Linked DNA regions of Sus scrofa. The protein of the gene in region 2 interacts with the protein of the main gene of each other region in a biochemical or structural test. Links are inferred from orthologs where the notes say so. Each region holds a gene or a part of one and is shown on either strand. Other genes may lie near its edges.

Region 1 (5,879 bases), on a different chromosome or scaffold from region 2:
AATGCTGTACAAATGTTCCATTTTCTCTTACAGGATGGACTCTATAGAATGAAGTACCAGAGCTTTGATATTTATTATCCTAAATAGGTTTAACATTTGGAGAAAAGTGTTCAAATATATAACCTTGGAAAGAAAAGCAAGCTGATGGAACAGAGATCGGGGTGGAGAGAAAGCACGACGGGCATGCTTTTGCTGTGTTGGGGGCAAAGTTAGAAAATGGAGTCCTTCTGAGCTTTAGGCTGCCAGGTGAGGTAAAAGTTAAAACACAAATCAATTTCCAACTCTTCATGAGGGCAACTAGATATCAATTTTAAATATACATGACCACAATCTGAATAATGAAGAAATCTTATGTTTTATTTAACACTTTGGCCAGACCAGCCCCTTTGAAGGGGTCACTAGTTTAGGAAAGAAGAACAACAAACCATCATTCCCTTTCCTGAAGATTCATCATTTTCCTAATTATTTCAATTGGTCCTGCTTTTTATTTTCTGCAAATTGGGGGGTGGGGGAAGGATTGTATATTAGATCAGCGATGTCTGGTTCTTATCCAAATATTCCACCTAATAAGGACATAGGTTCTCATGGACTGGGTAACCACTCTGCAACATTCCTGAGAATTGAATAATATAATAATCTTGAAAGTCAGCAGAGTGGATTATCCACTTTTTTTTTCTGGACTTGAACTTGTGACCTTAACAGTAGCACTGCAAAAAAAAAAAAAAAAAAAAAAAAAAAAAAAAAAAAAAAAAAAAAAAGCAAATGTGCTAAGCACTTTGCCAGAGTAACCTTCCATGTAGACTTTTCATCTTAAATACACACAACGAAAAACAACTACAATTTTTGGAAAATTATGTACAAACCCAATACTTCTTTCGATTACATATAAATACAAATTAGCTATTTCTCCTAAAAAGTGGTTATAATAGTAAATAAATACAAAATAAATCTGACCATTATACTTCATGTGCTGGGGTTGAACCCATATAAAATGTACAACGAAATACATTTTAAAATCTTTAAGGAATAATTCTCTGATTAAAATATTTGTTTTCCCAACTTCTTTTCGTAGATATAAATATATTTTCAAAATAGCTGTGTTTTTTTTCTCCATTCCATTCCATAAATAAAGTCTTCATTGGGAAATATTAAAGTGTCAACTTGATTTTTTTTTTTGTTTTTTCTAAAATATATATATATATATTTATTTTTATTTTGCTGTGCTAACGACACCCACAACCCTCCACAACCATGTCCTGGTAGTTCTTTAATACCACCTTTTCGTTCTCGTCAAGGTACAGCATGGAGATGGCACTGAGTTCTGTTGGGACACAGCACGCCTTTGGGATCTTAGAGTTAACGGAGTTGACCAACGTCTGGACGATGGCGTGATTCGTGGAGTTCAGGTGATCAGCCAGGGGGAAAGGGCACTCCCCGTGGCAGTAAAAGGCATGATACCCCGGGGGGGCTACGATCCAGTCATTCCAGCCCACATCACTGAAGTCCACGTACAAAGGGTGTCTCTTGCAGCTGGATTTCAGGCGCTTGCGCTGTTTGTGTTTTGCTTGACGCTTTTCCCTTTTGTGCAGAGGGTGTCCTTTCCCATCGTGGCCGAAAGTGACTAGCAAGGGTCTTATTTGTAACCAGCTGTGCTCATCTTGGTGCAAAGACCTGCTAATCCGCACATGCCTCTTGGAGACCTCCGGGCTGTCCTCCGGGTGGGCCACTTCCACCACGAACCCGTGGTTGGCGACCCCCTGTGCAGTCCACCGCATCACAGCGGGGGTGACGTCGAAGCTCTCCCACCTGCTGGCATTCGGAGTCACCAACCTGGTGTCCAAAAGTCTGGTCACGGGGAACTTGGAGTTGGCTGTTGCAGGTTTGATGATTTCATAAATATTAATTCGGTGATGGAAACTGCTACTGTTATCCAAAGTCTCCTGTGTCTGCTCCCGAAAGACCTGAAGTTCTGCTGAGGTGATAAACTCCTCGGTGGGGACAGAAGTTAAATTAAAGAAGAAGCGCCGGGTTGTTTTTCCACTCATTTCTGGCAGTTCTTCCAAAGATTCTAATTTGATACAAAAAAGTGGAAAAAAAAGGAAAATTGTTAGGACAAGTGGTGACAATCTGATTGGATAGAAGGATTTATAAACCTCACTTCAGGGTTTGATTTCTCCCACGTCAAAGTTTGCAACCAGAAAATTTAAATTTTCCCCTTTTGATAAAAAAAAAAAAGGATCCTCCCTTTTCTATACATTTATGTCAACATATGTATTGTGAAACAAAAGTTCCTAATTCATTGTTACATTTTTAATCCAACACATGAATACTGCTTCCAGGTGGCTATAATAATGGGGGGAATGGTGAAGCATTTCTTTGGAATTCACAGACTTTAGGGCAAAAAGAAAAAGTCAGCACTGTAGTTAGTAGAGGTCTAATGAGTGAGGATTTGAGGAAATTATTGCATTTCTTAAAAAGAAAAAGGCTTTAATGTCAATCCCTTAAGCGGTATTCTAAAACATTACTCTGCAATTTAGATGATTTACAAATCTCGATATACAGATTTCAGTTTCCTAATTAAAGACTCTGAAACTCAACATCCACGATGACATTTTGCAAAGCACACCCTACTATTTTACTCAAAAGTCCAGAGACAAAGGCATTTACAGGGATCTATTTCTTTGGAAACATAAGGGTGGTACTAGGTACTAGGGCATTGTAATAATTAAGGCTAGACATTTCAAGAGAAATAACTCCCCGGTTTGTCTGTTCTCTCACCTCCTTATGACCTCAAAAATCAAAAACTTACTTCCGATGCTTTTGGAAGAAAAAAAATGACTCTTCTGTTGTAATTCCTTTATCTTTTTAAAAAAATAAACCATGTTAAAAAACATACCTACCCTAAAATAGGCTTTGGGAGAGAGAGGGAAAACCAAAAATAATTTATAAAAATCAACGGAAATACCATTATGATATTTCTGGTGTAAGGGAAAATCTATTAGAGAATAATTTAAAATCTATTATCATTATTTCAAAATAGTCATTTAAGTGGGGTATACATAAAAGTTCTTCCTGATTTAAAATTCCAGAATTTCAATTTTAAGGAGTAAATTGCTTCCCAAGCAAACAATAAACTATAACACAGTACCTTGAATGCTGCAGCCTGCACATCATCAAAGGTATGTGTTATCATTAAATTAGTAGTAAATGGCACTAGACTTTGAGATATGTGGGTTGACCTTCTTCTAGCTTTACTACATCTTGTCATTCCACTGTCAACAGTTTTTACCTGCTTCATTCAGGATCCAACCTGAGTGCTAACAAAATCTGTTTGGCCATGGTGCATGTCATCACCATAAGAGGAAGCCCTACTTTCATTAATTTTCTGATTTTACTTCTACACCAAACAGCTACACTTCCCTCACAGAATTCAGATGCCTTGGCAAAGGAGAATCATTTCAGTCACTCACTCAAAGGTTCTACCTGTGTAAACATCATCAAAACAAGAGTCATCACTGCAGCTAAGTGGATGCACGAGGTCAACAGGGGCGGCTTACATCAAATTATGGAGGAATGCTTTAATGTGATGCTTCTCAAACTGCAGCTGCGGTGCAAAACACCCAGGACACCGTGAATCTTCAAATGCAGATTCTGATTCAGTGGGTGAGTCTGGGGTGTGGCCTGGGAATCAGCATTCCAAGCAGCTCCCAGGTGAGACAATGCTGGGGACTCGTGAACCAGCCTTTGAGCATAAAGGCTGTAAGGATGTTTTTCACATTCACGTATAAATTACCAATTACCAGGGACATCGTTTCAAGTGCCTTTTTAAAAATAATAGAAGAATAAATAGAAAAACCATTAGCATTGGCCAAAAAGGAAGAGGTGAGGCCATAGGTGGGCAGCCAGACTCAGAACAGAAGGATTTAAAGCCCATCTACTTGGTCAGGGAGACCAAGAGGTCCGAAGTATCTTCCATGGGCCTCTTGGGCCTGCTAACCCACACACGGAGGAGTACCTTTCAGGAGCCATGCACACCCTAAAACCACTGCCGGCTAATGCTACTTCCGGCCAGGCGCTATTTTAAAAATAATCCTCCCACCAGTGGAAGCAGGGCTCTGGTCCGTGTCTCCAGCAAATATCAAGGATGGTGTTTACCCCCGTCTTTCCACTCCCCTTGGCAATTCAGGAGCCCTCGGTTGCTTCTGCTGAAAATATTCTTTCATCAGAGTAGCCCTTGGCTATCAGAGGAAAGAGGAGTGATGTAAAAGTCAGCAGCATCCTCCGGACACGAGGACACCAAGCCAGGCCTAGACCTGGGCTCCTGACTTTGCTGAAACCAGCACACCTAAGAATACTGGCTTTTCTTTTAAATAGAGGAAGGAAAGGCACATTATCCAGGGCCTTTGGTAAGCAGCTGTATTAACATAGGTGCCCAAAGAAACCATAACGGCAACAAAACTCCCAAGTTCAAATCCATAAATAAGAAAGAAAGAAATTCTAAACATACACACACACAGCCAAGAGGAGGGGGATAAAGAAATAACCTCCAAGGTAAGCATGAGAGACAATGAAGTAAAGAGGGCGGATGTGTATCAAAGAGGCATTCAATAGAACATAACCCTCCGAAAGACTACTATTAGACTGAATTATATAGGACAGCCTCCATTCAGCCAGATTTGACCTATAAAAAACAATTTTGGAGTTCTCTTATGGCATAGTGGGTTAAGGATCCAGCATTGTCACTGCAGTGGCTCAGGTGCTGCTACAATGTAGGCAGGTTTGATCCCTGGTCTGGGGACTTTTATGTCACAGGCATGGTCAAAAAAGAAAAAACATGCTATCTCATGAATCTGCTTGAAGGTGAGCGGCAGAAAGGATAGCATTTAGCAAAGGAAAAAAATTACACTATTAAATATAAATAAGTAACGTGAAGATCTTTCTCCAACTTTGCAGCTTCACCTCAGTTACCCTAACCCCTGAAGAAATGCTATTCCTCCTTATACAAAGGCCTCTATGAAAATACCCCTAACTGCAGGCTCAGGTCACAGAGATAAGTCAGAAGGTCACAGGAACCCCCCCAATCTCAGGAAAACAACTGGCCAAGGTTAGGGCACCTACTACTCTTTCCTTTGATCTACAAGAAAGCATGATTTTTTTTTTTTTTCCTTGAAGGTGGAAAAAAAATCAGAACCTTTTGAAATGGCGTAAAGGAAAAAAAGCTGCAAACCATCACAACCAGCCTGGAGATACTGAAAATATAGAGCATTTACCTAAGTAGGTAATGTATGTTTTTCTGAAGGCATATACAGTTATTAATTCTTGGTAAATAACCCTTGTTGAATAAGCTGCACCTGCCAAGGGATTTAAGGACTCTAGTCTACCTGAGACTTAGGTCCTTGAACCTTTACGTTCTTATCCAAATGGATGGAGCTATGGATGCAAAATTGTAGAAAAATAAAGGAACCCAAGGCAACTGTGACTTTCAACCTCTCCTCCAAAAGGGAAGTTCCACCTTAATCATTTACACTTCAATTATTTGTCTACATCAAAATAATCCAAAAGTTGAGATGGAATTCCCTCAGCTTGCCTAGGTCCACTCTGGCCTCTTCCATAGGCCAGGAGAGAATAGGACATAAAGAAAGAAGTTATCAGAGTTCCTGTCATCGCTCAGCAGTAACAAACCCAACTAGTGTTCATGAGGATGTGGGTTTGATCCCTGGCCTTGCTCAGTGGGATAAGGATCCGGCGTTGCTGTGAGCTGTGGTGTAGGCTGGCAGCTACAGCTCTGATTTGAACCCTAGCCTGAGAACTTCCATATGCCACGGAAGTCAAAAAAAAAAAGAAAGAAGTCATCACGTTAATGACAGCAAGTGTGCTCA
Region 2 (4,589 bases):
TATGTCATCATGACTCATGTATTCTGCAACTGGAATTTTATACCTCTTAACATTTCTCACTTATTTCCTCCCTTCCCTGACCCCCTCTTCTCTGGCAAATACCTGTTTGTTCTCTGTATCTGTAATTCTGTTTGTTTAGTTTTATTTGGTTTGGTTTTCAGATTCCACATACAAGTGAAATCATATGGTATTTGTCTTTCTCTGTCTGACTTATTTCACTTAGCATAATACATTCTAGATCCATCCATGTCACAGATGGAAAGATTTCATTCTTTTTTATGGCTGATATTCTGTTGGGCATATACCACATTTTTGTCTATTTATCTATCAGTGGGTACTTGGGTTTTTTCCATATCTTGGCCTGGCTTTTTTTTTTTAAAGCAAATATGTTATAGTGTGATGTTTAAGAACCACCATTCTCAAGATGTGACAATAACAGGGAAGAACCTTTGATAACTGGAGAGCAGTTCTATATCTTTGATTTATTTATTTATTTATTTTTTTATTTTGAGTGTCACATTCTGCCTTATACCCTAAGGCTCTAAGACTTTCATTGATAATGGTTCGGTCTACCTTAGGAAGATAAGTTCCTTTGCTAGACTATGCGTCTTAATGTAGCACTTTGAAACAACCTAAAAGATTATGTTCTTTTTACTATTTGGAACTTAGTTGGTAACATATTTGTTGAGTAGCAGTTGTATATTTAGAATTATGGAAATGTAAAAGACACACGCCTTGTTTCCTTCTCTCATGGAACTTTTTTTTTTTTTTTTTTTGCCTCTTCAGGGCCGCAACCTACGGCATATGGAGGTTCCCAGGCTAGGGGCCTAATGGGAGCTGTAGCTGCCAGCCACAGCCATAGCCACAACAACGCAGGATCTGAGCCGCATCTGCGATCTGCACCACAGCTCACAGCAACGCCGGGTCCTTAACCCACTGAGCGAGGCCAGGGATCGAACCCGCAACCTCATGGTTCCTAGTTGAATTCGTCAACCATTGAACCACAATGGGAACTCCTCTCATGGAACTTTTATGTCTGTTGTGCAAGTATTCAATTCATAAAGGTATATTTGCTAATGTTACAAAACTATAGGGGAGTTTTTTTAAATAACTTTTATAAGCCTAAAGAATAAGTATATATATAAATCATGTCTAGATCCATATAGGCTTTTTGGTAGGCTTAAATCATACAAAACTAGCCTTTAGCAAGGTATTAAATGACATTTGATTGTTTGATTAGAATTATTAAATAACCTTTAGAATAATGTGGGTTAGGAATAAAATTAAAAGCAAATTATTCTTTAAAATCAGAGGTGTTAAACTCTGAGAGTCAGTTTGTCATAAATGTACATTCTCAACATGGCACTTTTTTCTTTCTTTAAGCAACCTATCCCACAACAGGCGTGTGCCAAAGATTGGCCCTTATCCAGATTATTCTTCTTCCTCATACATTGAAGACTCGATCCATCACACTGACAGCATTGTGAAGAATATCTCCTCTGAGCATTCAATGTCCAGCACACCTTTGACTTTAGGGGAAAAGAACCGAAATTCAATTAACTATGAACGGCAGCAAGCACAAGCTCGAATCCCCAGCCCTGAAACAAGTGTCACCAGCTTGTCTACCAACACTACAACCACAAACACCACTGGCCTCACTCCAAGCACCGGCATGACCACTATATCTGAGATGCCATACTCAGATGAAGCAAATCTGCATGCCACAAATGTCTCACAGCCAATCGGGCCAACCCCCGTCTGCTTACAACTGACAGAAGAAGACTTGGAGACCAACAAGCTGGACCCAAAAGAAGTTGATAAAAACCTCAAAGAAAGTTCTGATGAGAATCTCATGGAACATTCTCTTAAACAGTTTAGTGGGCCAGATCCCCTGAGCAGTACCAGTTCTAGCTTGCTTTACCCACTCATAAAGCTTGCAGTAGAAGTGACAGGACAGCAGGACTTCGCACAGGCTGCAAATGGCCAAGCATGTTTAATTCCTGATGTCCCACCCGCTCAGATCTATCCTCTCCCCAAGCAACAGAACCTTCCTAAGAGACCTACTAGTTTGCCTTTGAACACCAAAAATTCAACAAAGGAGCCCCGGCTGAAATTTGGCAGCAAGCACAAATCAAACTTGAAACAAGTAGAAACTGGAGTTGCCAAGATGAATACAATCAATGCTGCAGAACCTCATGTGGTGACGGTCACCATGAATGGTGTGGCAGGTAGAAACCACAGCATTAACTCTCATGCTGCCACTACCCAGTATGTCAATGGGGTAGTTCCGTCTGGCCAGACAGCCAACACAGTGGCACATAGAACCCAAGAAATGCTGCAGAATCAATTCATTGGTGAGGACACCCGGCTGAATATTAATTCCAGTCCTGATGAGCATGAACCATTACTGAGACGAGAGCAACAGGCTGGCCATGATGAAGGTGTTCTGGATCGTCTGGTGGACAGGAGGGAACGACCACTGGAAGGCGGCCGAACTAATTCCAATAACAACAACAGCAATCCATGTTCAGAGCAAGAAGGTCTTACACAGGGTGTTCCAAGCACAGTAGCAGACCCTGCACCGTCAAAGCCCAGAAGAGCACAGAGGCCTAATTCTCTGGATCTTTCAGCCACAAATGTCCTTGATGGCAGCAGTTTGCAGTGTAAGTGGAGGGATTGTGTAATCTTTTGGGACCATTTAAGTAACTACTTAGTTAGAAACAGATTATGTTTCAACTAGCAATTATTTTATATTACTTTTCAAAATAAAATAAGCCATTTGGGAGTTCTCATTGTGGCCCAGCAGGTTTCAATCCTGACTAGTATGCAGGGATGCAGGTTTGATCCTTGGCCTTGCTCAGTGGGTTATGGATCCGGCCTTGCCATGAGCTATAGTGTAGGTTGCCGGTATGGCTCAGATCTGGTGTTGCTGTGGCTGCGGCATAGGCCAGTAGCTGCAGCTCTGATTTGACTCTTAGCCTAGGAACTTCCATATACTGCAGTGCAGCCCTGAAAGAAGCAAAAAATAAAATAAGCCATTTGGTTGGACTTCAGAAGTAATTAAAATGTTGTATAAAACAAATAATTTTGTTGTTTATAATTTAAAAGATAATGTCACAATAATTGGAATAGTTAGCAATTTGTCTTATGTAACTGCTGGTTTGTAATGCAACTCACATACTTACTATGAATAGTTGAGATAAAGTACTGACCAGTTTAAACAATCCAAGTAAGATGATGCCAGTATCACTTTTGAAACTTTGTTGAGCATATTAGTATTTATTAAAAAGTCCATAGAAAATTCAGAAAAGTCAATATAAAGAAACCATAGGAGTTCCAGTTTGTGGCACAGCAGAAATGAATCTGACTAGTATCCTATGAGGACACAGGTTTGATCCCTGACCTGGCTCAGTGGGTTAAGGATCTGGCGTTGTCCTGAGCTGTGGTGTAGGTCTCAGATGCAGCTCAGATTCTGCGTTGGTGTGGCTATGGTATAGGCCAGCAGCAGTAGCTCCAATTGGACCCCTGGCCTGGGGACTCCATATGCCTTAGGTGCAGCTCTAAAAAAAAATAAATAAAACAAGAAACTATAAAGTTCTTCATGGTTTTTAATGTCATTTTTTTTTTTTAGGAGTTATATGCTGAGTCTCCCATGTGCCTATAGCATTGTGCTGTGGGGCCTCTAGCAACTTGATACTTGGTTTATGGCCCTAGAAGGATTATAATGCAATATAGAAGAGCTCACCAAAATCTTTAACAGTCATCATTATACAAAATGACTTCTCCGAGTTCCCGTCGTGGCTCAGTGGAAACAAACCCGACTACTATCCATGAGGATATGGGTTCAATCCCTGGCCTTACTCGGTGGGTTAAAGGATCTGGAGTTGCTGTGAGCTGTGGTATAGGCTGGCAGCTGCAGCTCCAATTCAGCCCCTAGTCTGGGAACTTCCATATTTTGTGAGTGCGGCCCTAAAAAAAAAAAAGATTGTTTAGACTGATAGCACTTATAAAAAAAAAAAAAGAAAGAAAAAACAAAGACTACGAAATGGGCTGAAGGGATTCGGCTGTCATAAATCAGTAGCCCCTTGCTTGAATGGCTTGTATTATAGAAATGTTGACATACCTTATGGCAAGGTTCCATATTAGTAAAAATGTCTTGTGACACATGGGAAGGGTAAGTTACTAGAAAATTTGTACCCCATTGTTTATGTCATTATTCTGAAAAATATTAATGCCTTGAGCCTTTAAAATATGATCCACTTTGAGCATGGAATAGAACGATTAAATGCATTTTGTAGCATTGCTGCTCATAACCAAAGGATTTTTGAGAATACAGTTGAGAACTTGGAATTTTCTCTTCTGTTTTTAACCTTTTGTGGCTTTTCAATATTTTCTTCCTTGCCCTATAGAATAATTCAACAAGTTATAAAAACATTGGGTTTAAAAGAGTCTCAAAAGTAAGTTGGTGGAGTTCCCATCATGACGCAGCAGAAATGAATCTGACTAGGAACCATGAGGTTGCAGGTTCTATCCCTGGCCTCATTCAGTGGGTTAAGGATCTGGTGTTGCCTTGATCCGTGGTGTAGGTC
Region 3 (6,495 bases), on a different chromosome or scaffold from region 2:
CGAACTGCCGCTGCCCGACGCTTCTTCTCCATGAGCTATTTATTATCTTGGACTTGGCGGCATCCAAGGAGCCTCTCCTCTATCATTTCACCGGGTAGTGGCTGTAGGGAGGCCAGGATGCTAGCTGCTCTGGGTACGCGGCTTCTTGAGGTGTCGTGTCCTTTGGGGAGGCACTGGGGAGATGCGTCGTGGACTCGTGGCTCTTACTGACCCTCCCGGCCCCAAAACCAACTCGAAAGGGTACCGGGATTCACGAATCTTTGCGGACCCATCCCCATGGCCTCAGACGCTTCCCGGGCACCGATTTCGTGGTAGGTTTCTGAGGATCGCGTTTTGTGAGCTCAAGGCTTTTTGAGATGTTAAAACCCCGAAAAACAGATTCGGTAAACTGAGGTCACCTCTGAACAAATTTTGGCGTTGGGAGAAAACTCGTAGGGAAGTGAAGGACAGTCGCCATGAGTTGCATCTCCACCCCTCAAAAAAAAAAAAAAAAAAAAAAAGAAAGAAAGAGAGAGAAAGAAAAAAGCTGGAGACGAAAGTGCTTTTCAGCTTTTTTTTTAATTAAAAAAAAATGTGATTAGAGACGAATCCTATTGAGTCCGAAATTGAAACAACCCGCTCTTCCCTCGCCTCTGAGTTTTAGCGCAGCGCGCTCCCGCCGTAGCCCTGGGATTTCTAGGGTCGGAGGATTGTCCAGGAACTGCGGGCGCCCGCCCCTTCCACTGTCCTTCGCCCGCGGGGAGCTGCCCTTCTCTGCTTCTCCCATCTCTGGAGCTTTCCCCCCCACCCCGGTGCATTTTAAGGGTTCCAGGCGTCTCAACGAAACTCTTTGCTCTTCCCACCCGTTCGCAGTCAGCCTCAGCGGTGGCGCGGTAGCGGGAAAACTTAAAGGCGCTCAAAAGGCGGCAGCTCTGGGCGGGCAAGGATCGTCGCGCAGGGGCGCCCGCGCACACCCAGGCCAGCGACGGGTAGGGCCGCGCGGGACAACCGCGGCCGGGAGGGAGGGCTAAGCGTTTGATCCTTCACACTTCTTCCAGGCCCTCCTGCAAGTGCCCCCAAGATAAAACCGAGTTTTGCTGGGTGAGGCCGGGAACCTGAGCCTTCGAGCTCTGAATAGACCCAAGGCAGAAACTGGGAACAGGCTTAGGAAAGGGCGGCAGGGTACAGTGTGCTGTGCAGCCGGGATCGCGCGACTGTGACCCCTGCGCAGGCCGGGCAGATTCAGTTTCGAGGGTCACGGTTTCGGAAAGGACCCTGTATTGAGTGATCCACGCATGCAGCATCTTTGGATAGAGTCGGGATATCACAGTAATACCTTGAGCGGTGGGTTGGTAAAATTCTTGAAGCATTTGCTGAGATTCTGAAGCTGGTGCAAAGGAGGAAGGGGGGGGAGGAAGTGGCGGGAGAGGAGTAGTGGTTTAAAAAAGACGAGCTGGGGTGGGGGTGGGGGGAAAGACAGACGCAGAGATCGAGCGTAGGCCGAAAGCTGTTCACGGTTTTCTGGACTCCTGGGAACCCATTGTGATTTCCTTTCTGCCCTGGCTCGGGAGTTGTAAAACCTCTGAGACTTGGAGACCTGAAACAAGTGTTGAGCCCTTCCGAGGAGACGCCTCTCTTTTGAGTCCGCCCCTCCGCCTTTAAGGGCCTCAGGACCGCTTTCTTTGGGGATTTACTTTGCTCGGTGGGCACGCCGTGGTGTGGAGATTCTCTCCGTAAAGGAACCGGAGGAAAGAGCCCAGCGGCCATTCCCTTACCACGTTCCCACACTGGTCACCGCCTGACCATCTACCCCTCCGACCACTTATGACAGGTCCTCAGCTTTTGGTCGGGAGCTAAAGAGGCTGCTCAATTCCTCTAAACACTCGCAGAAGTTCGCCAGGGGGTGACTGTAGCTGGGAGCAATTTTTGGCCTCTCGGAGATCCTGGGGAGAAAGAGGGGTGGGTGCGCGCGGCACGTGTATATCTGTCTTTCAGTGCTTTTCTTTTTAAACGACCCTGGGTGGTGCGGCTTTCAGCTGCTGAGACTCCGCCGCCCCCAAATCCCGGCCCAACTTGAGCCAGGCTCACACTGAAAGGCGAAGCCCCTACCGTGCTCCCCAGATCCTCTCGCCTAAGGCAGCTGGCGGGAGGGATCAGGCCGACACGACGGAGGCTGCAGGTAGAGGCGAGGACCACGTCCTCCGCCAGCTGCACCCGGGGACCAGCTGAGGACTCGGCCGGGAGCTCCTCCCGGACGCTGGTGGTTGGGGCAGCAGGCGGGGAGGCTGGCCTCTCAGAGAGGGGGCGGGGCGGAGATGGGGCGGGTCCACTGCGGGGAAGGCGGACGCTTCGGTGCGCGGGGCGGAGTCTTTGCATTCACGTGACTCAGAGGGGCTGGAAGAAAAACAGAGTCAGCCTGCGCCAGTCTCATTATATTCAAATATTCATTTTAGGAGCCATTCTGTAGTGCCATCCAGAGCAACGCACTGCCGCAGCTCCTCTGAGCCTTTCCAGCAAGTTTGTTCAAGATTGGCTGTCAAGAATCATGGACTGTTATTATATGCCTTGTTTTCTGTCAGTGAGTAGACACCTCTTCCTTCCCTCTTCCCGGGAATTCACTCTGCCCTCCCCACCCGTGCTCGCCTTGTGTCCCTCCCGTCGGACCTGCCTTCCAGAGTCCACACTCCGCTTTCTGGCAGCGCTGTCGCTTTCTTCTTGGCGCCGCAGCCGCTGCGCTCTGAGCGTACCGGTTCTATTTAAAGTGCTGCTTGCTCCACTCTCTTCCTGATCTGTGCGTTGCAAGGAAGGAGAGCGAAAGGGGGCAAAAAAGAAAAGTCCGCAGCCAGGGGTGCTTACCATCCCCTTCTCCCACTTGACTGCGGATCACCCAGTGCCCCCGTGGCATATTCCCAGCTGCTTGTCAAACTCAGACGTCGCTCTTGGAATCATCCCCCCCACACACCCTTCTCTGGGAGTGAGTGAGCGGGCTCAATCAAACGCTTTTTGCTGGGCATTTCAAATTCATCAGCCCCCGTAAAATAAACCTTCCAGACCCAGCCGCCGGGTGTCTTCGCCCTGCCCCTGCTTCTCTGTTTTCCCTCCCTCCTGCTCCGAACCAGCTGGAAGTTGTGGAAGTCGGCTCGGAGGGCGGAGGAAGAAGGGGGGTGGAGGAAGGGGGGGGAGAGACTGAAGGTCTGAAGTGGAGAGTAGAGAGATGGTATTTTAATTCTCCCTCCCCCATCCTTTTTTACCTCCTCAATGTTAACTGTTTATCCTTGAAAAAGCCAAGCTGAGATCATGGCTCAGATAGCAGTTGGGACAAAAAAAGATTAACAGGATGGAGGCTATCTGATTTGGGGTTATTTGACTGTAAACAAGTTAGACCAAGTAATTACAGGGCAATTCCTACTTTCAGGCCGCGCATGGCTGCAGCTGGTGGTGGGGTGTGTGTGAGGGGGAAGACACAAACTTGATCTTTCTGACCTGTTTTACATCTTGACCCTCTCTGTCTAGCCCTGTATGAGTTTGCTGAGACATCTCTATTTTTCTCTAGTTATTGGTGTTTATTTATTCTTTAACCTTCCACCTCCTCCCCCTCCCTAGAGACACCATGATTCCTGGTAACCGAATGCTGATGGTCGTTTTATTATGCCAAGTCCTGCTAGGAGGCGCGAGCCATGCTAGTTTGATACCTGAGACGGGGAAGAAAAAAGTCGCCGAGATTCAGGGCCACGCGGGAGGACGCCGCTCAGGGCAGAGCCATGAGCTCCTTCGGGACTTCGAGGCTACACTTCTGCAGATGTTCGGGCTGCGTCGCCGCCCGCAGCCTAGCAAGAGCGCCGTCATCCCAGATTACATGCGGGATCTTTACCGGCTTCAGTCTGGAGAGGAGGAGGAGGAAGAGCAGACCCACAGCGTTGGTCTCGAGTATCCCGAGCGCCCTGCCAGTCGGGCCAACACCGTGAGAAGCTTCCACCACGAAGGTCAGTCCCAGCTCAGGGTCTGGGCTGTGGAGGGCCGGTAGGGCAGCTCTGGGGGAGAGGAGTTCAGGTTACATCAAAGCCCCAGATCAGGAGGCTAGGGAACCGAGCTGCTCACCTCCAAGGATTTTCAGAGCTGTGGCCCAGTTTATTTTTTGGAGACGGAGGGGAGGGGTTTGGGAGGAGAATGACACCGCTCAAGTCTCTGGCTAGCCCCAGAGGTGTGCTTCTGTGATATCAAAGCCTTTTATGCCAGATTTTCTGCGCATTTTTTTTTCCAAAGCACCTACTGAATTTAATATTACAGCTGTGTGTTTGTCAGGTTTATTCAATAGGGGCCTTGTAATCTGATCTGAATGTTTCCTAGCGGATGTTTCTTTTCCAAAGTAAATCTGAGTTATTAATCCACCAGCATCATTACTGTGTTGGAGTTTATTTCCCTCTCTGTAACATGATCAACAAGGCATGCTCTGTGTTTCCAAAGATCACTGGGGAAATGTTTGGTAACATACTCGAAAGTGGAAGAAGAGGGAGAGGGTGGTTGTGTGCATGTTCCCTCCTGCCTCTACTCTGTTGGCCCCTCTTTTTCTTTACAACCACTTGTAAAGAAAACTGTGTACACAAAGCCAGGAGGGCTTTAAAAGGGGAGTCTTATGGTGGTGGAGTAAGGAGTTGACACATGGAAATTATTAGACATATAAAGGAGGTTGGGAGATTGTCTTTGGTGCCTGCTGAATGCTATCTAAGCTTCACTAGTTTGCTAGCTGCCCCATTGATCTGCTCTTTCAAATTAAAAGGTATGTTTATTTCCCCCTAGTAGGCTTCCACTGTATAAGCAGAGTTCCCCACTCATCACCCAGCTCTTAGCTGTTTCTTGACTTTTCAGTCTCTCAAAAAGCTCATGGGCTTTTTTTTCTTTTCTCTTTTCTTTTTCCTCCCCAACTGTGCCTAGAACATCTGGAGAACATCCCAGGGACCAGCGAAAACTCTGCTTTTCGTTTCCTCTTTAACCTCAGCAGCATCCCAGAGAACGAGGTGATCTCATCCGCAGAGCTTCGACTCTTCCGGGAGCAGGTGGACCAGGGCCCTGACTGGGAGCAGGGCTTCCATCGTATAAACATTTATGAGGTTATGAAGCCCCCACCAGAAGTGGTGCCTGGACACCTCATCACACGACTACTGGACACGAGACTGGTCCACCACAATGTGACACGGTGGGAAACTTTTGATGTGAGCCCTGCGGTCCTTCGCTGGACCCGGGAGAAGCAGCCAAACTATGGGCTGGCCATTGAGGTGACCCACCTCCATCAGACACGGACCCACCAGGGCCAGCATGTCAGGATTAGCCGATCGTTACCTCAAGGGAGTGGGGACTGGGCCCAGCTCCGGCCCCTCCTGGTCACATTTGGCCATGATGGCCGGGGACATGCCTTGACCCGACGCCGGAGGGCCAAGCGTAGCCCCAAGCATCACCCACAGAGGGCTCGGAAGAAGAATAAGAACTGCCGGCGCCACTCGCTCTATGTGGACTTCAGTGACGTGGGCTGGAATGACTGGATTGTGGCTCCACCAGGCTACCAGGCCTTCTACTGCCATGGGGACTGCCCCTTTCCACTGGCTGACCACCTCAACTCAACCAATCATGCCATCGTTCAGACCCTGGTCAACTCTGTTAATTCCAGTATCCCCAAAGCCTGTTGTGTTCCCACCGAACTGAGTGCCATCTCCATGCTATACCTGGATGAGTATGACAAGGTGGTACTGAAAAATTATCAGGAGATGGTAGTAGAGGGATGTGGTTGCCGCTGAATCAGGCCTTCCGTGGGGAGAGACAGACAGACACACACACACACACACCCCATCCACTACTCACTCACACACTACACAGACCGCTTCCTTATAGCTGGACTTTTATCTTTAAGAAAAAAAAAAAAAAAAGGAAAAAACCCTAAACATTCACCTTGACCTTATTTATGACTTTATGTGCAAATGTTTTGACCATATTGATCATATATTTTGACAAAATATATTTATAACTACATATTAAAAAATAAAATGAGTCATTATTTTAAAGGTAAACTATGTTCCTTTTCTCTTTAATCCTTTCTTTCTTCCTTCTGCCCCATCTCTGTTGGAGGAGATCTTTTTCTTTAATGTGGGGCTGGGGGCATGATGGAAGTCAGAGGGTGGAAACTGGAGGTGGTTAAGTTGGAGGAACAGGAAGTAAACTGATGGTGGAGGATGGTAATTGCCAGGATGAATTGTTTTTCCATTTCTATTTAATGTTAACAAGGACAAGGATGCAGCATCCTCTCCCATCTGGATGACACATGCCTTGGAGAAACTGGGATGAAAGGAGTAGGCCAGATTAAAGAGTCAGTTTGGGCCTTCTTATACACCCTCTGGTTTTGTTCACCTGTTAGGGGTGTGTCCCAGCAAAGTGTGATGGCTGAGTCTCAACTCCAGGGCAATGGTTCCCACCTCTGCTTTTAAGATACCCTGGACTGTCTCTAGTTATTACAGGTACTCGTGTTGC
Region 4 (6,531 bases), on a different chromosome or scaffold from region 2:
GTGGTCTCCTTGGTTCCGTTGCTACGGTCATTGGAGAAGACGACAAAGAAGGGCAGGTTTTTGGAGCCTGGGGGGACACTGATATCTAGCTTGTCGCAGCCTTTCCTGTGACTCTCGACGGTCACTTCCAGTTTATTTTTGCTCTTGGTGGAGTCAGCCTGGGCCCACCGCTTCACAGCACTGGACACCTCAAAGGTCTCCCAGCCCTCATCCCGGATGTCCTGGGACACCAGGAAGGTCTTGGTTCCCTCAGAAGCTCCGTCCAGAACATCATAGATGATCATGTTTCCTTTCAGCTCATGGGAGGCATCCACGTGACTTTGACAAGAGAGGTAGAGTCGGAGCTCAGCCCTGGTGATCTGCTCATGCCTGGGAACGGAGATATTGAAGAGCAAGATGTGTTTCTGGAAAGGGAAGTCTTCTGTGGCTGAGACAGAGACAGCATCTGAAATGCAAATACACAGTCATGGGCATCTGTTGGGAGGGTCTCGTTTCATGACACCAAAGCTGAGGCTCATGGTTTAGATGAAAGGGCATCTGAGATGACATTGTCTGTCTCTAACAAATCTCCATTTGGTTTCCCTTAAACCCTAAATGTAGAAGGGTATTTAAAAAGGTATATTGAGCATCTTTCAAAGAAAAACAGAGGCAAGAGATGCTTTGCATTGATGTTGACAGGTATAGCTGTTTATTGAGCACCTACTGTGTACCTAGCATTACATACTATGTTTCACTTTTCTCTTCACATTAACCCTGGGAGGATCTTATTATTATTCCACTTTTACAGATACAGACACTTGGATTCAGAGTGTTTAACTGTAATTGCATACATCCTGGAAAAATTCTCACTTTACAAAACAGCAAAGCTCACTGTCAGTCTCAGAGTGCAGATCCTGAGGGTATAATTTTAAAGGAGAGATCCTGGGAGAGGACAGTGAAATTCCAGCCTAAGATGATGTTAAAACTCTCAGCATCTAAGTGGTATAAAAATCACCCAGAATTGTAACTTCTGAGCAAAATGAAGGTAGGTGATTATTTATTTATTTATTTATTTTTGTCTTTTTAAGGCTGCACCTGTGGCATATGGAGGTTCGCAGGCTAGGGGTCAAATCAGAGCTACAGCTGCCCTCCTACGCCACAGCCACAGCAAAGCTGGATTCAAGCCGCATCTTTGACCTACAGCAAAGCTCATGGTAACGCTGGATCCTTAACGCACCGAGCAAGGCCAGGGATCGAACCTCATGGATCCTAGTCAGGTTTGTTACCCCTGAGCCATGACGGTAACGCCGATTTTTTTTTAATGTTTGAGGTAAAAAAAATATTAACCTCAATGGCTTAGTCACATTTGGCTCAAAGAGGGCTTGCCTTTTAGCTACACAACTGTCTCACTTTCCCACTCCCCAGGCTGCTGCATGGCCACCAGCACATTTATTATACCATGGTTCGGTCACAAAGAGAGAAGTGTTGTGTTTTTTGAGCTCCTACTATGTGCCAACGTGAAGGAAGACTGGGTGCTGTTGTGAACCTGGCCATGCCTGACAGACTGAGTGCCAATCTTGACTCTCCCGAGTTCCTCTGGGCCTGTTTCCTCATCTGGAAAATGGGGCTCATCTGTCCAGCCTCCCAGGGTCGGTGTGAGGCTTTGACAAGAAGGTACATGGGACTTGCCCTACGCTGTCTCTGGCTCACAGCAGATACTCAATATTTCTGTGTCCTTCTTGCCTATGTATGCACCCTAGCACATGCCTTTCATATATCTCTGTGTCCCCTGACCCAGAGTGGACATGCCATCCTAGTTCCTGTGGTGGGTGGCGAGGCACTATAGCATATGTGAGTAGTGAGTGCAGTCTATGAGCAGTGTTTCAAGGACCCACTATGAACATGGCCATGGGAGCGCATCAGACATCTAGAAAACAAGGGCCTCCCTGCCTGAACTGCACTCAGGCTGTGTGAAGGGAAGCATAACTGGCCTCCATAGGAGTGCTGGCCACAGGCAGAGCTGGGATCAGATCACTTGTTTCTGGGACAATGACAATGCTGGGGGCGGGGTGTGGGTGGGAAGTCACTGATATAGCTCCAACACTGCACTCCTAGACTATGGGATTTGGTGATTTGGTGATTTGGTCCAGCCAAGAGAGCCCAGCCTTCCCCTAAAGCAGAGGTTACAGACATGCACCAGTGAGACATTAGCAGCATCTGGATGACCTGAGACCGCATTAAAAAAATATTAAGCCAGCGTTTAAAAATCAAGCAAGTTCATATAAACTCCAGGGACATCAGAAAATATAGCAGAAATTGGCACAATATTATAAATCAACTACACTTTAATTTTAAAAAAAAAGGAAATTAAAAAAAGAAAATACAGTCTTGCTGGGCACGTGGCATGACCACAGCATCCTTTAAATAAGGCATACATCTGTTAGGAGTCTGCAGGTCCCAAGCCCAGGAGAGAAGAGGCCCCGAGTGCTTGGCTGGTTAGAGAGAGGCTGCAGCTGCAGAAAAAGGCTGAGCTGGGCAGCCTTAACTAATGTTAGTTAAGCGGTCAGCTGCTTAACTAACATGTGAACTGGGCAAGTTCCCTCAGGGTCTGCAAGCCTTGACTCCCCTGCTCACAAGATCTTGTCACCTACGTTGTGCAAATAAATTAGTAGACTTAAGTCCTAAGTTGACATTTATTATCTTCTAGTCTGCCTAAGTCAGGATAATTATTTAATGTTTGGAAAATAAGTTGTCCTCCAATGTTTCTCTCTTGAAGGAATTAATCTGAATTTTAAACACCTTTTGATGAGAGAGAAGCAGACATTCTTTCGGTGTTCAAAAATATACCAGTTGGTTGGATGGTAAATAAGCTGTCTAAGCAGGAAGGGGACAGTATGGCAAAGAGGAGGTAGGAGAAAGGATGGAAGAAAGGGAGCTGACATTTCCTCAGCACCTCTGGTGTTAAATGTGGCTTTGGGCCCAGGGAGGGAGAATCTTCTAGAGCAGAGCTGTCCAATAGAAATGTCTGCAGTAAGGGAACTGTTCTATAATCGCCACTGTCCTATAGGGCAGCAATTAGCCATGCATGGTTGCTGGGCACTTGCATTCAAGCTAGTGAAACCAAAGAACTAAATTATTAATTTTATTTCCTTTAAATTAACATAAATGGAAACATCAAGAGTCCCATGTTTCCACTGGCCGCCATATTGGGCAGCAGCATCCATGGACCACTGAGCCCCCCGCCCCCACACCAGGCGCCCGGATGGGCTGACTCTACCTTCTACGCTGAAGCTGCGCACGATGTTGGACGCGGGGGTGGACGTCTTGTCAGTGGTGTATCTGTTGTACAGGTCAATCATGTACTGCGGTGGCTCAGCTCGGGTTTTGTCCTGGGAGGGGACCCCGCTCAGGTTGAGACTGCGCAAGAAATCCACCTTCATGTTTTCCAGGAACATCCTCAGGTCGAAGGTGCCCCGTTCCTGCTCACCTCCGGCCCCTCCTAGCAGGCGGTGGGCATCTCCCCCAGCCGAGGCCCTCACCCGGCTGTCCAGTGGCTTCCCCTGCGTGGAGCACACCAGCAGGGAGAGCGCCACAGGCAGGGCCACCCAGAGCACCCCGCGACACATCTTGGGGTGCTCTCTCCCTGCTTCAGAGACTGCGGCAGCTGCAGTGTGTTAGCGGGTGCGGGGAGGAGCCCGGAAGGAGCCGGCACGCATTGTCCTGCCCACAAGCTCTCCACCGCGCACCCCACGCGCCCAGGCCCGTTCACAGGCTCTCACCCACCCGCCGTCCCCGGAGTGCCCTCCACTTGTTCTTATCTGGCCCTTGATGCTGTGTTCAGGCCTCTTATCTGAGGGAGAGCTGCGTTAATGAAGGCTCTATAAACATCTGACAAACACACAAGACTTGTGGGAAGGACAAGGCCTGCTGCAAAGAGTCTGAATTTCTCTGTGGGGTTATCGCCCCCTAATTAGGATCCTTTCTCATTTCCTTGCCAGCTCTGTTCAGAGGCATCTTGAGACTGGGTGACATATGTTCCATCTCCTGGGCCAGGGGAACAAAGAATCCAGGAAACAAACAAGACCCAAAAGTCCTCCAAATATAGAAAAAACAGCACAAAACTCCCAGAAGACCCCTGCTAACCACTGGGACCTAGTGTGGGCAGTGGGGTGGGAACCTTATGTCAGAGTTAGTAAGAAGCCTACTTCCTGTGCAACTGCAATAAGCACTTGTGGCTCAAGTACCTTGTGTCTCGGTTTCTCGTCTGTCCAGTGAGCTCATGGGTGAATGTGGCACATAGAAGTCAGTGAGGTTATGGAGACTTTGGGTCAGACCAGATTCGGGTTCAAATCCCAGGTCCCTCACTTACTCCCCACAAGTGTGTCCTGGAGCAAGTCATTTCACCTCCCGAGTCTCTGGTTCGGGAGAGAGTTGTAAGATTTAAGGCGATTTGTGCTAAAGGTCGTGGTAGTCACCGTAAGCCCGTCAGTTGGGTGGCTGCATTCTGGCTGCCACTTCTCCACCTTGGGTCTGACTGAGAGAGGAGCTAGGGAGGCAGCCCTGTAGAGATCCTGGCCTGGTCTCTATGAACACCACTTACACGGTGAGACCTGCTGGCCCCGGGATCCCAGAGGAGCTCTGTCACTGGTCTCAGATGGGGCTGATCTTTGCTCATACTCATGTCAGCTGGGCGGCTGCATGAACCACACTTGTCAGTCAGGAGAACCGTGCCGTCTGAGACAAAGGACAGGGAGGGGGGAGCTCTGAGGCCAGGACATGTCCAGGAGACGTCCCCCTGGCCTAAGGAAGCCAACAAGCTGTGGCGCAGTCTGGGCCTGTGAGGTTCCGGGGTCTGCGACATTTTAGAACAGTGTGCCCACATTCAGACTCTGTCCATTTCCATCACTTGCGGCTTGATCACAACAAAGGATGAGCAGAAAAATATTCTGGGGGTCAACTTTGAGGAGTATTTAAAGACAAAGTTTTCCCAAGCTGGTGGGGCTCCTGGGAAGGGGTTACAGTGAGTGGAGGAGGTTCAGGAAGATGAACAAGGGGCCAGCGCAGGCAAGATCAGAGATCCCAGCATGCACCATCCCTACTGGGGGTGGGCTGAATCCAGGAAGGCCCAGTGGCCGGGTCTGGACAGAACTTGCTGTCCCTATCCCCTGGGACACTGCCAAGGAGGCTGGATGGGAAGGGTGCAGCTCCAGAAGTACTGCTTGCCGAGGAGGGCAGGAAGCATGCTAGGCTTTGAGCCAGCTCTGGGCAACAACTCCCTGAGGCGGGGAAAAGATGAACCCACAGCCCAGGAAGTGGAGCTGCAACTTCACAGCAGGGATCGAGCCTGGAGGATCTGGGGAGCTGGGCTGGCATTCCCCACAGGGCTCCAGTCTCTGCGGGCAGCCCAGAAGCCTGTCACATTCAAGAGGCGGAGCCAAGGGAGAAAGGGAGCTGGCCTGAATGTGTTCTCAAAGCTGGAGGAGCTGTTATGTTTTCTTAAAAACATGACAGATTTTTTTTAACCGATTATAACAGTAATATAGTACAGATAATTTGGGAACTGCAACACATTAGAAAGGAGGAGATAAAAATAACCTGTGATCTCACCATCCAGTAGGGACACAGTTAACATCTTGAGATATATGCAGCTCCACAATCCCCTTTGTTGTTCATAGGGTTTACAGAAGGTTTATAGGAGATAACATTTCTTTATCCTTGGAGATCTAAAAGTATATTTACTTTGCCTTCAAAAAATAAAAGAGAAGAGTTTTTGTTTTTTTTTTTTCTTGTGGCAGAGTTTTAAGATTCAAGAGTGCTTTGAGTTTCAGAAAGCTCCAGATTTGAGAAATGGTATGGAGTATATACTGTAATATCCTCAGTGGAGTTCAGGACAACATCCTATAACCAAACACATTAATATTTCTCTAGGGAAACAAATAAAAACACAAATGTCCACTTAGGTCCAGTTTTGCCCTGAAAGGAATTGAAAGAGACTTCAGGTTTTCTAATAGTTTCAGATTTGGGGATTTCATATAACAGGACTGCAGACCTGTTTATATATGGGGTCACCACACTGGGCCATGGAGGCTGCATGTGAACCCTGTCTGGAGGTCCTGGTCACATAGACTGGGTGAGGATGGTACCACCAGAATTTTGCATTGTGGCTCTGTATTTCTGGAATGATCTGCCCCATAAACTCAAGAGTATCAATATGTCCACATCTCCTTTCTTTTATTTAAGTCATTGCATGAGCCCTCCTGATTCCTATTATTGAAAGTCTGGTCTCTCAGAGCATCCCTTTCCTGAACTGTCCAAGGATGCTGTAGTGATGGTATAGTTCAACTTCTTACTGCTGGAAGGGAGGCATGGGCTAGGGGTCCTGGCAGGTTCTACCTGCTGTTGCTTCTCAGTGACATCCAGTCTTGATGTTGGGTGCATCCCACACATCTTATAGCTACTGGTGCACAGAAGCTGGGATGCCCTGGCTGGTCCAGGTATCTGCCAAGGTTCCCATGATGTCTGCCTTTGGGCCCCAAGGTAACAGCTTTCTTA

The links.
Region 1: the proteins of BMPR2 (region 2) and BMP2 form a complex in vitro, tested with the Homo sapiens proteins (4 studies listed by BioGRID and IntAct, with this or other methods). The link is inferred for Sus scrofa from reciprocal best matches to the Homo sapiens genes BMPR2 and BMP2.
Region 3: the proteins of BMPR2 (region 2) and BMP4 form a complex in vitro, tested with the Homo sapiens proteins (2 studies listed by BioGRID). The link is inferred for Sus scrofa from reciprocal best matches to the Homo sapiens genes BMPR2 and BMP4.
Region 4: the proteins of BMPR2 (region 2) and GDF2 form a complex in vitro, tested with the Homo sapiens proteins (2 studies listed by BioGRID). The link is inferred for Sus scrofa from reciprocal best matches to the Homo sapiens genes BMPR2 and GDF2.

Annotation. Positions count from the first base shown.
Region 1 is NC_010459.5:15,756,502-15,762,380, reverse strand, and holds part of BMP2 (bone morphogenetic protein 2), read right to left. Parts: intron 2,069-5,879; coding exon 1,224-2,068; 3' UTR 1-1,223. UniProt on the Homo sapiens protein: Growth factor of the TGF-beta superfamily that plays essential roles in many developmental processes, including cardiogenesis, neurogenesis, and osteogenesis. Induces cartilage and bone formation.
Region 2 is NC_010457.5:106,127,361-106,131,949, forward strand, and holds part of BMPR2 (bone morphogenetic protein receptor type-2 precursor), read left to right. Parts: intron 1-1,383; coding exon 1,384-2,663; intron 2,664-4,589. UniProt on the Homo sapiens protein: On ligand binding, forms a receptor complex consisting of two type II and two type I transmembrane serine/threonine kinases.
Region 3 is NC_010443.5:183,415,532-183,422,026, reverse strand, and holds BMP4 (bone morphogenetic protein 4 precursor), read left to right. Parts: upstream 1-2,408; 5' UTR 2,409-2,432; coding exon of another isoform or gene 2,433-2,557; exon of another isoform or gene 2,558-3,582; 5' UTR 3,583-3,589; coding exon 3,590-3,962; intron 3,963-4,911; coding exon 4,912-5,768; 3' UTR 5,769-6,033; downstream 6,034-6,495.
Region 4 is NC_010456.5:88,509,631-88,516,161, forward strand, and holds the start of GDF2 (growth/differentiation factor 2), read right to left. Parts: upstream 3,787-6,531; 5' UTR 3,606-3,786; coding exon 3,257-3,605; intron 1,025-3,256; exon of another isoform or gene 446-1,024; coding exon 1-445. UniProt on the Homo sapiens protein: Potent circulating inhibitor of angiogenesis. Signals through the type I activin receptor ACVRL1 but not other Alks. Signaling through SMAD1 in endothelial cells requires TGF-beta coreceptor endoglin/ENG.